Coturnix japonica: one gene and its partner. The protein of the gene in region 1 interacts with the protein of each later gene in a pairwise test. Links are inferred from orthologs where the notes say so. Each region holds a gene or a part of one and is shown in the gene's direction. Other genes may lie near its edges.

Region 1 (7,535 bases):
TGGGAGATCACTTGAGTGAGATGCAGCTGCGTGGCTGCGAGCACAACCTGCAACCACAGGTGCTCCTGGTAATGGGAAGCACTCCCACCTGATCCTCCCCACTCATGTTGCTGGGAAGAGGTGAATCCCCGGAGTTAAAACCTATGGGATGGAAGCTGGATCCTTTGTTTGCCACTTTGCCGAGGTGGATTTCGTGCTTGTTTGGTTTATTTATGTGTTTTGGAAGCTTGGGAGCTGGTGTTGCTGTGCAGCAATGCTCTGCAGTGGAGCTGAGCGTGAGCTTTGTCGTCTCTTTGCAGTTGTTTGGTCCTGGGGATCCACAAGCAGTCCCCAGTCAGGGCTGTGTCTGATGCCTTTCCAGCCATGTGAGAGTGTTCACTGATAGTGAGACATCATTGGATCTCAGACCAGATTCCCAATTTCAGCTGAGATTCCTGTTGGTTAGGAGAGAGAGATATGTTTTCTTCATTATTGTTATTACGATGAGAGATAGAAGGATTTTTCCCTTTCTTAAGGTGGGGAAACCTGTGAGTAACGATTCAGCATTGCTGGATTTCCCCTGCTAATGGGAATCGCTCCGATCAGCTGCTGTAATCAGCCTCAATGCAGGAGTTTGATGGCTGTTGGCTTTTCCCCCCCTTGTGTTGCAACAAGGAGTGCAAACAACAGCCGATGGAAATGAAGGGTCCTGCCATCCCGCTGCTGTTGATATAGGGCCGATATGTGGAGGTTCTTCCCCCAAAGGGAGAGAAAACACCTTTCTGCAAGGCTCGATTTCTCCACACTTTGTCATTTTTTTTCTCTCCCTTTTTGTTTTTGGCATCCGTATTTTCAGCCTCACATCTGCCAACTGTGTGCTGAAGAGCTAAACGTGGAGCGTTTATCATCGGGATTAATCATTTTATTGAGCAAAGGCTTCTTACATCCAGAAATATTCGAGATCAAAGCTCTGAAAAACAAAGCTGTTGCATTATAGAAGAGAGGAGACATTTTCTTGGTTCGGCTGATAGAACAGATGAAATATCTGCACATAATGCAAGTTGGTGTCAGAAGATTCATGTAACTACAGCCTCTTTAGCATTTTGTCTTTGCATCTTCTGAATAATTATGAGCTGCTGAATAATATATTTCTCCCAATCTGCGCAAAGCCTTCCTAACCTTCCTGAGGAGACATTTGTGCTTTCTTTAATTAATAGATGGGGTTATTTATCCTATTTACAGCTGCCCATCGCTGTGTCCGTGCAGTGGCTCCGAGGAGCGGCTCCTGTTGTCAGCGTTGCCTTTTGCAGGAGGAGCAGCTTTGTCCGAGGAGATCCCCGCGATGCTTTTTATTCTGGAGGTTTCTGCAGAGCAGGAATACAGAAAACCATAAATATGTATTGTGGGTCGGTCAGCGCTGGAGATCGGTGCGTCCATCTCCTAGGAGATGCTGCCAGGGTTTGATAAGATGTTGTAATTAAACAGAAGTTAACAGGCAGAGGGGAGATGTGGATCCTTTGGTTTTTGCCTCCCCTGTAGCAGATTTGTGCCTAAACCCCCCCATTTCAGAGCTGTATTTCTGGAGTCTGTTCCCATCTTGTTTGTCAGCCAGAAATAATTTGTGTCTCTTTTGTGTTGTTTTTCTTTTGTCTTCAACAGAGTGAAATCTGTGTTTGGTGCAGTGAACGGGGGCTGAGCATGGGGAGTTTCATTTCACTTCTTATAGACCCTTTCATGGATCAATTTCTGCTTCCTACCCTTAAAATGCCATTAATGCTATTTTTTTTTTTGCCTTCCTAACAGCAAAACTGCTGTGGGTCAGTGAAGGTGCTGGTGGTGTCTTTGGGGCACGCAGGTGCTGTGGGGAAGGAGAGCCTTTGTAAGCTCCGTGCTGTGCACGTGGTTAATTGCTCATTGGGATTATTACCCAATAATCGTGTTGTGATTTTTTTGTAATAGAAGGAACCTGATTTGATGAGAGACCAGAACGTTTTCATCTGTTGGCTGTTCTTTTTGGCTGATGGATCATGGGAATTTTAGGGACATGGAATGCCCGATGTGGAACATTCTGCTCTCGCAGTGTTATCAGCAGTGATTTGGGTACAGCCTTTTTGGGGGTGATGTGGCCTCTGTGCTGTGTTGGGGGTGTTTTGTGTGTTCACAAGAATTGAGTGCTGTCAGTTCTGAGTTGTTTCCCCCTGCAGAGCCTGATGGCAACAAGTGGAGTGTACTTGCTGTTTAGTTGAAGTGCAGAGCTATCTGCTAACAGGGGTGTAACTCAGGAATTACACACTACCATAGAAAAACAGATCCTGCGGTGTTCCTGGGAAGACATTGCTCTGACTTGATGCTGTGTGCATGTTTTTTTGCACATCCATCTGTTCTTAAGGATCCAGAGCTGGAGCTCCGTGGTCCCTGGGCTGTGCTGGAAGCCTTTCTTGAGGCTAATGTGGAATTTTGCCCTCCAGTTTTAGCCCTTGTTTCTTGTTTCCATCCCAGATGTGGAGCTCAGATTTCTCCCTTCTCGCAGTTGCTTGTTGTGTGTTTGAGGAGGACTTAACGAGGTTTTGTGTAAATGAACCAAGTCTGGGACCTTTCTCTCAAAGGCAGAATGGTGTCTGATGTGGGAGTACGTATGAAGCAAAGGGGTGGGATTGAATTCTTCCACGTAGGCAAAAATGACCCTCCTGACATTCATCCACACTGTCGAGACCAACCAGTGGATGTATGGCAGTGAAAGGAGGGTGATGAGTTACACACCATGAAATGAAGAGCATCTCCATCAGCTTGTCCACCCAAATCAGAGGATTATGGCCAGGGAACTGCACAGAGCTGAATATTGGCTTTGGTGCATTGGAAACAATGGTGGCAATGTTGGAATATCACAGTTTGTGCCACCTGGGGCCATGAATGCAGAATGGAGCTTGTCAAGACCCACTGAACCAATAGAAGGCTGAAGGTTTCCTGGATCACGTTGTTACTGGTAATGAATTGTGGTGTTGCAAAGTGAGCTGGGAGTCAAAGCAGAATCCATGGAGTGGTGATGTGTTAATTCCCCACTGAAGAAAACGTTCAGCCCTCAGCAGGTGAAGTGATGTGTGCTGCATTTTGGGGCAGGAAAGGGCTGATTCTTCTGGATCTCCTGGAGTCCGGACAGACCAGCAGCTCTGACTGCATTGTAGCACTGACTGAAATGAAGGCTCCAACTCTCAGGTCAGCCCAGAGAAGAACCTTTCTTTTGCAGTGCCGGGCCCCAGACCGGTGTGAAGAGCAAACCAGCAGCCTTGGCTGGGCTGACCTACCACACCTATGTGGGAAAGGAGGAAATGCAGTCATTGCTGTTTTTTAGAATAATTCTTAGTTCCTTTAAAAATCCTTCTGGAATGAGTTTAGGATTCTTCAATGTATTATTAAGGAGAATTCAATTTTTGCTTAAACACCACTGATGAGGGAGGTTGAGAAACAACCAAATCCTGAAGTGATGTGGAGTGAGGTCGGTAAGAAAGCTGCTCTGTGCTGCTCAGCATGATGGCTTGTGGGTTGTCCCAGTGGGATCAGAAATGGCCCTATTGATGGAATCTCAATAATATCACATACATCGGCTCTTTGGAGACCTTTGGTGGGAAGCCTCCACCTTCTGAGGAGAGCTGGTCGATAGGGCACTGGAGAGGATTGATAACTGTGGATCGTGGGTGTAATTCTGACTGGATGGTTGGGATGCCCAATGGAACCCTTAACTTCAAGTGCATTCAGGTCTATATTTCACTGATGTCTGGGTTGGCTGCACCCCCAGCAATAAACACCTGACTGCCTCTGTAGGCAGATCCAAAAAACCTGTTTGTGCCTGGTGGGGCTCAGAAATAACAATGAATTGGGAAGGTGTGGAGAGCATGGCAAGAAGTAGTGCTGAGAGTTAAGATGTGCCCACTCAGGGTTGGGTTGGAGCAGACTTAATCAGTTAAGACTGGATATTTGGTCTCTTTTGTATATTGGCAGTAATCTTAGAGTACTCAGAACCATCAAGAGAATAAACCCCTTGATTCTTGTTTCTGAGTTTCTCATTTGTTTTAATGTTCTGCAGTTTGGGATTCTGCTTTTGAAGCTGGTAAGTTGGTTTTGTCATGTAGGATGAGAGGCGAGAGCACTCCAATTTTAAGTTAAAACCAAAGGTTCGTTATGCAAACATGACTGATTTTCCTGAAGGTAATAATTCTGTTGTTACAGTTGTGCTTACAGTGGAGCTTTTGCTGCCTGACAAAATGCAGTTATCCCATAAAGGGCTTTCTTCTTTCTCTTTGCAGGATGGCGGATACGGACCTTTTTATGGAATGTGAGGAGGAGGAGCTGGAGCCATGGCAGAAGATCAGCGACGTGATTGAAGATTCTGTGGTTGAGGATTATAACTCGGTCGATAAAACTACTACGGGTAATTAACTATTTTAGTCCAGAATTATTCCAGCTCTGGGTATTAAGGGGGAAACGGCAGTGACTGGTTATGTCTATCCTGTAAGTAATCTCATTTGATAGCTACGAATCCTGTTTATAACGTAATAAATGCCCATTTTTGAGCTGCTGTTCCATCTCTGTGCAGAAACTTGGGGGAAATTCTTTGTGTCCTGTGGCCAAAGTAGTGCAGAATCAATCATTTGCATTAAAGAAGATCAGGGTGATGTTCCTCATTGTACAGAGTGCTTCAGGAGGTACCAGCACCCAGCAGTGACTGCTTCAGATCCTCCTAAGCAGTTCTGAAGTGGGTGAGGTTGACAAGTGTTCTGCAGTTAATTGTGTTTCCTCTGTCTTAACTTACATAGTCACAACAGTGAGATTGAAGCTTGATCATTATTTTTTCTTTAACCCGTTATTTGAGGTAATCAGTTGCATTCTTTTTCTTCTGCCTGTTTTCTGTAAATGGGAAGATGTGTGGCTTTGATGTTCAGAGTTGATGTTTAATGTGCAGGTCAGCCAACGTCGTTATCCGCTGGCTGTGTCAGACGCACAGAGCAGTAATTGGTGGGTTGGAGGCTTTGTTTTCCAGGAGGTAATAACTCTGTTCGTAAAGAAGCTCTGAGTAACGGTGTGAGAGCGGTGCTGTCATGCTGCTGTTGGTGCCAACACCGTGAGTTGGGCTATTGCACCTGTTTTGTACCAATTAAAACTCAGCAATTAACAATTCAGGAATTAAAGAAGCATGAATGTTATTAGAGAAGACATTGCCTACTGTCCCTTTGGTTCTTCCCAAACACTTCAGTCTCGTGCATGGTGAAAAGAATATTTACCTTAGTGATATGCATGGCTGAAGTTGACTGGCCCATGCAACAAGTTGGGCTTTTGATTAACCCTTTGAATTGCTTTTTCTTGCTCTTTTAGTTGAGGTCAAGCATCAGCTTAATATCTAGGAGAGAGATGGGACTGTCTTGTTGTAGGCCTGTGTCTTGTGGTCCTACAATGATCTACATCCATGGAAGCATTCCTGGTAGTTTGGCTGCTGACTTATTGTGTTTGTGGAAATATTTGGCACCTGGGGCATTGGAGAGCTGGCTGCTAATTGGAGTTAATAAATGGAGGTGAGCTTAGGGAGGGTTTGCTGACTGCTGTCACCTCCTTCTTCTGGTCTTCATACAAGGAAAGGTCTGTGAGGAGCTTGCTTTGACAAAGGGTGTTTGGAGCTGGTAGGGCAGGAGGATGTTTGTGTCTTCAGTTCAGAGAGAGCTTAAGCAATCTCAGTGCATAACTTAGTGCTGAGATCGAAAGTGTCTTTAAGTTCCTTTTGGATGAAGGAACTGTGTAAATCTGCTTGTCAGACTCACTTAAAAGTCACCACATCATTTTTTAGTAAGATTTGATCAGACACAAGTAATGAGGAACGCATTGGTTTCAAATAGTGCACAGAACCCCTCTTGGAAATGTCTTCAAAGTGTCTGGCACTGCAGATGCATGAGGTGTCACCACGTAATGCGCTGGTGATTAATATTTCACAGCTTTACTAATGGAAGTAAAGGGAGACAGGTGTTTAAATCAATTACAGTTAATAAAGACTTGGCGATATTTGCGCGCCAGTTAGATTATTGCTTAAAAAATAAGAAGGAAAATGTGCATGGTTACTAAGATACATCTTTAGTAGATTAGTTGTTTATCAGTGAAATAACTCTTAACAAGTTCAAGGATCTTATCAATGGAATCAGCTATCCATGGGATCTGCTATCCAAATGATTCCTGGATCCTATAAAACATGTGGAATTTGTAAGAAGGACCCAAGTGGTGGTGGTTCCATTTCCTTCCTCCATCCCTTGCTGCGCACTGACTGATGCTGCCCCTGTGGTTGTGTGATCTTTAAAGTCCTTTCTAACCCTACTACGCTGTAATTTATCTCTCCTCTCTGCACTGGAGGGGTGGAATCACAGGCTGTTTGTGTTCATGTTACTGATAATGGTGCTCTGGGTTGCAGTCAGTAACAGTTGTAGAAATAATACCTGTGGTCTTTAATCCGTTAATTAAAGACATGGGCAGGGGTGCAACTGGAAATGCCTGAAAACCTCAGAGGTGTGTGTTGGTCTGCTTGAGAAGAAAGGAGGGAGGGCAGTGAGCTTTGCAGCCCCGAGGCAGCGTTGCTTTCCAGATGCACTGAGCTCAGTGCTGCAGAGGTAGGTCAGCTCTGGTTCTGCATCATGGAGCCGTTAGTCTCAAGGGAGGTTGGTGTTGTGGGTCAGATCTGTGTTGTTGTTATCTGCTGCACACTGGGCAGAAGGAACGTGCTGCTGATAGGCCCTGTGAAAACACACAGGAACGCACAGCGCTTTGCCCTTGGTTTGGTGATAAGACGCTGAGATTCTGCAAGGTAAAGCTGGGAAACACACTTAGTTTTGAATCTCTGTGGAGCATTTCAGCTTTGTGGTGCAATTTTTTGCATTCCCTTTGATGGCATCCATGCAGCAAATCCTGTGTGTGGTGATGGGCTGATGGCTGGACTCGGTGATCTTGGAGGTGTTTTCCAGCCTTAATGATACTATGATTGGGTGGACTTGATGGGGATGAGTCGATGGTTGGTCTGATTCTAGAGTTCTTTTCCATCATTAGTGATGCTGTGAGTGTGGTGGGGGTGAGTTGATGGTTGGACTTAATGATCTTGGAGCAGCACAAGCACGACTCTTCAGTCTGCAACGTGGTTTTTTCTTTCTGGAGCTCTGTGTTCACTGAGCTGCTGCCATCTCCTGTCCTGCAGGGAATCCTTGTTGGCTTTCTACTAGTCAGAATTAGGGGTGGCAAAGTGCCATGGGGACATCTGTCCCGTCTGCAGCCCATGTTGGCCCAGTAACCGGGGTCACATCCTTATCTCATTTGTGACTGCAGAGTGTTCACACCGTGCGCTGGGTCTGAGCTGTCCCAGCTTTGGGCAATCTTTTTATGCTCATGGATGTCATCTTGCATTTTGTTTTACTTTAATTAAGAAGACTTACAAGCAAGGGCTGAAAAAGGCTCATTAAATCTACCCATTCTCTCTGTGCAAGGTTTTGTTGGGCTTTGTTTTGTTTTTCCCCTCTAGGATGTAAATCAGTGTG
Region 2 (7,535 bases), on another chromosome or scaffold:
GCAGGAAGGCACGTGGTGGTGGTGGTGTCCTGAGAGGTTTATTTAGTTACTGAATTCAAACTCTTTGGCTGAAAGACAATATTTTCTGTGTTAGGTTCTTGATGTGGTTGTTGAGGAAGGTCTGTAGCTGGGCTCTAAAGCAGGAGCTGCAGACCGTATCCCAGTTTATTTTATCACAAAAAAAATAAACGCTCTGCAGATACCTTAAATCTCACTCCTGGTTTCTTTGACCTGAGCAGTAATTCTAGTTTTGTGTGAATTTATTTCTTCTGACTGTTTCACTGTGTGAGCAGCTGAGAGCTGCTGGAACGTGATGGCACTGGCATGTTACGTGTTGAGTTTCCTCTATTCTGTATGTTCTGCTGTTCTATCAGTGACTGCAGTGTCACAGGGAAGAGCAACTTAAAACTCTTCATTTTAAAATAGAAAAAAAGAGAAGTATCAGTGCTTTTTTGTTGTTGTTTTCTTTGCAGCTATAAATCATCCTCAGATGATCTGGTAATGCTGAGGCCAAGGAGGGAGAAATAAGAGGCATAGTTAATGTTCCTTTCTGACTCTTTCTTCCACAGATTCAGTTGGTCCAGCCAGGTCAGATTCAGATTCAAGGTGGGCAGGCTGTACAGGTACAGGGGCAGCAGGGCCAGACCCAGCAGATCATTATACAGCAGCCACAGACTGCAGTTACTGCTGGCCAGACACAGGTAACTGCACCAGCATGGAAGGGTTTTCTTGAGAGGAACAGGAAGAGAAACTTGGCAAATGACTTTCAATGTGGTTAAGTAAAAAGGGAAAAAAAATATTAATGTGGAGGAGAACTTGAGAATAAAATTAATATCTTTGTAGTGTTTCATACGTAACCCTGGGACAGAATGAATAGACTGCATGTTCTTATCCATCGTGTTTCTGTATATTGGTTCATGGCTGTTTTTGTCTCTTTGTTGCAATTTCCAAACATAAGTATTGCTAATGTCATACTTGCGCCATTTTGTGCAGTAGTCCAGTCACACCTGGGTTTTCTGCTGTTTCTTTTGGTTAGGACCAGAATTTAATGTTCTGATAATGGGACAGGAAACAGGGAACTTATTTCTCTGAATGTTAAATACAACAGTATTAGGAAAAGTTTATAGTATGTGCTTCAGGTACTTTACCTTCAGCTCAGTTGGTTTGTACTCCATTCTATTTCTTTATGCTAGTAATAAAGCAAAAGAAATAACGTGCCTGAAGCGCCATAAGCACTGTGTATTAATTGAGGAACTGTGGGATTTGAGAAGGAAGCAATGTTTGAAGTTCCTGTGTTCTGTTTTGTTTAGACTCAGCAACAAATAGCAGTTCAAGGACAACAAGTAGCGCAAACGGCTGAAGGGCAGACCATAGTCTATCAGCCCGTTAACGCTGACGGAACCATTCTCCAACAAGGTATGAGCTCTGGTGCAAAAAGTCACGACCTCACAAAGTCCACTTGGTAGGTTTTCATTGCCTCATAGAGGCTGTCAGTGCACACAGTGAGTTGCAGTGGTGGTTGGCAGTGCTGTGACTGTTGTGATGTGCTGGCACAGCGAATGGAAGAAGAGAGGTTTGTATTGTTGGACAGGAGTTCGGCAGGTAGATCTTTCCACAGAAAACTGAACAATCCTTTGTTTTTTTGGCAAGAGCTGTTAGAATGGGGATGCTCATTCGCTTCTGCGATTCCAAATACCTGCTGTCTTACCTGAGGCTGGGATTACAGTGCAGATACAAAAAATACCAAGTACGGTTTGGTTGATGCCTTGTAATGCATTTCTAGATCTTACAGAAGGGTGAATGAGTGGAAAACAGAAGCGGGACTAATGGTGTTCCCTTCTTTCTGTGTGCGTGTTTTCGTTTGTTTTGTTTTCTTTCCTTTTGTGTTTTATTTTCTTAAAGTTACAGTCCCTGTTACAGGCATGATCACCATTCCAGCAGCCAGTTTGGCTGGAGCACAGATTGTCCAAGCAGGAGCCAACACCAACACCACCAGCAGCGGACAAGGGACTGTCACAGTGACACTGCCAGTTGCTGGGAATGTTGTCAATTCAGGTGGAATGGTTATGGTATGTATTTAACTCTCCATTCAACTTGAAGGTACAGCTATATGGTGTCAGTGTGTAAGGTGTTGTCTGAGATCCTTGCCAACTGGATGTTTCAAAATGAGCTGTTAGCTGATAAAGCAGACATTTGGAAAGATGGAATCGACTGTTGCATTTCTTGAGGATTCCTTAGTAGTTGTTTTTCTGATTTTTAGGATTTTTTCCACCCATTCTTCCATCTCTGCACTTTGATGCCTTTCAACTTGAACTTTATTGTTCATCCCCGCTAGATGTCAGCAGCTCTATGAGAAATAACTGCTTAAGAAATGCTCTGAAATTATCATATAAATTAAATAATTCATAGCCTAAAAGAAGGGGAAGTGATGAGTGTGTCCTGCATGCAAATTAGACAAGAGGCAGTAAAGTAGTCATAGAATTGTGTATTGTGTTGAAATTTTACCGTTATCAGGAGGAGAAGGAAGTACAAATGGTGCGTCATTGGGTTATTTAAGTTTGTCCTGCAGTTTGAGACTGACTTTATTCCTCATTTCAGTTTAAACTGCTGTGTTAACCGGAGAAAAAACAAGCCCATTCCATCGTAAACACTTCTCAAAGTATATCCCTGCATCCCCTTTTCATTCTAAGCTGAAAGTTCTGAAACCATTCTTCTCTGTGCAGATGGTACCTGGAGCTGGATCAGTACCAGCCATCCAGCGGATACCTTTGCCTGGAGCAGAGATGCTTGAAGAAGAGCCCCTCTATGTAAACGCCAAGCAGTATCATCGAATCCTGAAGAGGAGGCAGGCACGAGCAAAGCTTGAAGCAGAGGGGAAGATTCCCAAAGAAAGAAGGGTGAGAATATAACACAGAGCTAATGCAGGGCTGTTGTATGAGGAAGGCACAGAAAAGCCAGAAAAATGAGGCCTGGAATCTTAGTATTTTTTCCATTTGTTTTTCTTGTTCATAAACTATGTTTGAGTAATCGCTGAGTCCCTTGGTGGCAGTAAGTGCTTTCTTTCCATACGTTTAATAGCTCATCTAATGTCACTGTATTGCAAATAGGCCTTTACTGTAAGCATTTTATTTCAGGGGTGGGGGAGAAAAACAGAATCTGCATTGGGTTTTTCTGCTGTGTTCTCAATTACTGTGAGTACTGAACTGAGGAGGAATGTGCTGCTCTCATTGCTCTTCTCCTCCATGTTGTGACAGAAATACTTGCATGAATCTCGGCATCGTCACGCCATGGCCAGGAAGCGAGGAGAGGGTGGACGTTTCTTCTCACCAAAGGAAAAAGACAGTCCCCATATGCAGGTAAGGAGAATTTTGCCTGTTCTTTGGGCAGCTCACGCTTTGAGTCCTTCAGGTTACATTTTAGAGGAGCATTTCTACTGTTCTCTGTTCTTCTGAGTTAGGCTGTTGTATGTGACTCTCTGATGTTATGGAAAATGTTGGGAATTACAACATGACATTTATTTTTTATCTGTAGGATCCATCTCAGGCCAATGAAGAAGCGATGACACAGATGATCAGAGTCTCCTAATCACTGCTGACATAAAAATGTAACTGAATTCCTGTCCCTTCTGCAAGTCTGTCCTACCTTACCAGTGTATCAAGCAAGTCTTTCAATGGGACAATCACCACATCGCAGCCTATCCTTTTCTACAGAACAAACACCACTTTTTCAGTGTGTGGTAAAGATTTTAACTGCAGTTGACTCGACTCATAGAAACTTAATGACTTTCTTGGTATACTCTTCTAATTCAGCGCAGGGATTTCAGTCTGACAGCTCATGCCTTTATTTTTTTTTCCTTTATAACATCTCTTGCATTAAGATTGGCCATGGTGAGTGTACTGCTGACTGACCAGCAATAACTGGTGTGCTGAAGGAGGGCCAGCAAAGACTTCATGGAGTTATGACCCTTCTGCACAGCGACATAACCCAGTTCATAGCAACCAGCACTGATGTGGCTATACCACGGTACTTTGTTTTCCCAGGAGAGGATTGTTACTTACATCCACTACTTACATCTTTGGATTTACCGTCTACTGAACTGTTCTCTACTGTTGCATCTGCACTTGCAAAACTGACAGAAACTGAAGGGGTTTCTCTTAAGCTCCACTCTGTAAAATATGTATTAAACAGCAAGCTTTTCTCTGGGAAGAGTTCAGCCATCCAGTCAAAGTGATCAGAGCAGTTCAAGATTATTATAGGACTTGATTTGTTGTGTGTCTGTTCCGGGAAGTAAGAGTGGAGAGGGTTATTGATAGAAGGGTTTAGTTAGTAAATAGGATTTATTGGTGTTTTTTGGTATGTTTATTGCCAGCAGGTCATGCTTTGGAAGAAGAGTGGATGCCAATATTAAAGTATTGGAACTTCCAATTGAGTCTCTTCCAAAGGATTATTTTTAAGGTCTTTATTTTAACCTGACCGGTCTGATGCATGGTTCTCCAACAGAAATACAATCTGCAGTATCAGAGTGAAAACACTTGGCCACCTTTTTGGTAGTATTTCTTGATGTGTGTTGTAAATCAGTTCTACAGTTCTCATTCTGCATAGAGAGAGGAGCTGTTGAATGATGGTGGAAGCACAGGGCCGCTCAACCTGGTGCATACTGATGTTTTGGAAGGATTATATACCTGAACAACGCGACGCATTTGCAAATGTTGTGTTAATAATCCAGCATTCTGCTCACCAGTTTTACACGAGGTTTTTTTCTAGCTATTCTAAAGGCATTAATGGCATTTTGGTGCCTTTGGTTGCTTCTGCCTTAAATTCGTGGCCAGTCAGAGCGCGGTGCTTCTTTCTTTTTCAGTCAGTAACTGTAAAGTCCTCACCTGGAATCTCGTGAGGTCACCCATTTCAGGAAACCCATCGCTCTCATTTAGTGAAGGAACAACAAAGTCTTTTCCTTAGTTGAATTTGCCGCACTATTTGTAAATACTTTTTTAGCCTCTGTACATTTTGTCAATAGGATTTTCATGTGCTGGAGGAACATTTCTGTGCTGAACTGAGACGGCCTCCATAACGTTTCTGCTCTTCAGCTGACAGCTAATCTGTGTCCCAGAGCACCCCTCAGGCAGTTGGAAGTTATGGAAGCAGAGATTGTTGCTCTGACATGAGTTTTTGTTTATTTCTCTTAAATTAGTAATTCTTGGTTTCCTTAAAGAAGTCGTAAACTTCTCCAACACAACTAGAACTCTTTTTTTTTTTCTCCCCCAATGAGCCCTTCATATATAGGTTCTCTGATCTGTTGTTGTAGAACGTGTACTAAGGCCTATGGATTCGTGTTACTTAGGAAGCTTTACTGTTAATACTTCAGATAAGGACGTGGAGGCCGGAGTGCAGCTGTTGGGTTCCTTACCTGCAGCGGGTCAGTTGTGAGGACGGTCCTTGAGTGATGCTGGAGCACTTCGAGGCTTTGCATGTTACAAACAGGAGAGAGGGAAAGAATCTTTGTGACTGGATGTGTGTGTGTGTAAGGGGATGGGGGGTGGGGAGGTACTTGCATCATGTAAGGCAAAGTTTGTATATAGTTTAAAAAGTTTATAATTTTTTTTATATAATGCATTTTTTCAAGTGTATTTTGGTCTTTAATAGATGCAATTGTAAGTACTGTGTACACTATCCAGCTAATAAAAGTTTATAAACCAAGCAGCGGCGTTGGCTCTGCTTTTAATGCTCCTCCGACTCAATGGCCTCTGAGCTGCAGGAGGAAGGAAGGCTGCGCTCACTGGGTCAGTGTTATTCTGTGTGTCCTTTGAGTGTGCAAAGAAATTAGCATGGTAGGTTTTGGTTTAAGGCAGTAATGATTTGTGCAGAAATCTGCTGTGTCTTTAACCTTCCTGGACACCTGTTGGCACAATGCACCTCCTGCCTGAGGGCAGCTCCGGTGTGCATGGAGTCATTCATTATCCCTGAGGAGGCTTCCAGAAGGGCCAAATGATGTAGAAACAGCCCTGGGGCACAGGGAGCTCCATGGTGCAGGGCTGGAACCTGCTCATGGTCCTGTGAGCATAACAGGACACTACCTTCACGTTACTGTGCTTCCCAAAGCATTTACTCCTTTGTATTGCTGGTTATCTTCCAGAAGGGTGGTTTATTCTTGTCCCCAACCTCCCTCGTATGGTGCCATTATCTCTATTTGCTCAAATATGACAGAATGGAGACTGTTAGAGCTTATTTTTTTTGCATTTTGGTACAAAAGGAAGTTTTCCTCTTAAGAGGATTGGGCAGGCTTTGAGAGGTTTAAGAAATGCTCAGCTTCCATGTCTGCCTGCTAATCCCTCTCAGTCGTGCTGCTCCTTCCACACACGCTGCTCAGGATCTCTCAGCAGTGCTGTAACTCCAGCAATGATAACAGAAATACCTTTATCAGGGCTGGGGTCCTGCACTGTTAGTTCTTCTGTACAGTGTTGAGTAGTTGTACGATGCTGCATTGCTGAAGCAGTTCTTGTATGCGTTCATTGTTTGCAAAGCTCTTTGGGTTAATAGCTGCCATGTATATATTTGTATATAAAGCAAAATACTGTGCTAAGCCTGTTCCTTTGTTCCTCATACAGGGTGTTCATGGAAGAACTGGAATCACTGCTGCAGTTCTTGGGGCTTGGTTCTGCCCTCCAATGTGTGTCCCTATAGATGCTGGTCTGCTCCTTTGGGGTGTTGCTGGCAGTTCTGTGGTCATGATAACAAGTGTGATTGTGGGCAAACAGAGCAGAATGAATCCTCAAGGACATCGCAGCTGAGGATTCACAAATGCAGAAGAGCATGAAGGGCAGCGGCCCAGGGGAATAAGCAGCATCATAGGCCTGGAGGGAATGCCCGCAGCACATAATGGGTTATCTGATTACAAAGCCACTCGGATATCGATTTTCACGGCTTCTTGCTTTATTCTTAATTTGAAATTCTTTTCAGTTCCCTAACAGGAGCAGGACCAGACTAATTTAAAGCAACCCCTCGCTTTGGAGAGAAGTTCCTGTATCTGCTAATCTTGGGCCAGTCACGGTTGCCAGGATCCTGTCCCTTATTGCTTCGCTTTCTGTTCTGGTAATCAATATTCTGAGTTGCTGGGGACAGGAGAGAAGTAAGGCAGGAAGTTGAGGACAATTGAGCAGATATTCTGAAGTGAACAGAACGGGTGGAATTTTGTGCTGCTCGTGTAAAGTGGACACGGTGGATAAGTGGGGAGTTTTCCCTGTTCCTCATGCAGTAACACTTTGCTATTCTTTGTATTAATTCAGACCGGTTAAATAAGAAGAAGACCCAACTCAGAGGGTTGAGAATCTTTGCTTTATTTTGGGAGTTATCCATAATTCCTGGGGGTGTTTGTGCTTATCACTGTGATAACAGGGTTCAGTAGTTTGATTGGAATGAGTGTAATTTACAGCAGAGCCAAGGCAGAGTTACACTGCAGCATGGGTGAGATATTAATAAACAAACAGAGAAGTCAAGGAAACCCAAAGTTATACATACGGTCTGAATGAAGACATCTT

What was found.
Region 2: the proteins of POGZ (region 1) and NFYA interact in binary tests that used the Homo sapiens proteins (3 or more experiments, as listed by UniProt). The two-hybrid records come from large-scale screens. The link is inferred for Coturnix japonica from reciprocal best matches to the Homo sapiens genes POGZ and NFYA.

Annotation. Positions count from the first base shown.
Region 1 is NC_029540.1:2,351,709-2,359,243, forward strand, and holds part of POGZ (pogo transposable element with ZNF domain), read left to right. Parts: intron 1-4,280; 5' UTR 4,281-4,281; coding exon 4,282-4,405; intron 4,406-7,535. UniProt on the Homo sapiens protein: Plays a role in mitotic cell cycle progression and is involved in kinetochore assembly and mitotic sister chromatid cohesion.
Region 2 is NC_029541.1:4,506,376-4,513,910, forward strand, and holds the end of NFYA (nuclear transcription factor Y subunit alpha), read left to right. Parts: intron 1-569; coding exon 570-701; intron 702-1,310; coding exon 1,311-1,416; intron 1,417-1,902; coding exon 1,903-2,069; intron 2,070-2,723; coding exon 2,724-2,897; intron 2,898-3,254; coding exon 3,255-3,356; intron 3,357-3,531; coding exon 3,532-3,585; 3' UTR 3,586-5,694; downstream 5,695-7,535. UniProt on the Homo sapiens protein: Component of the sequence-specific heterotrimeric transcription factor (NF-Y) which specifically recognizes a 5'-CCAAT-3' box motif found in the promoters of its target genes.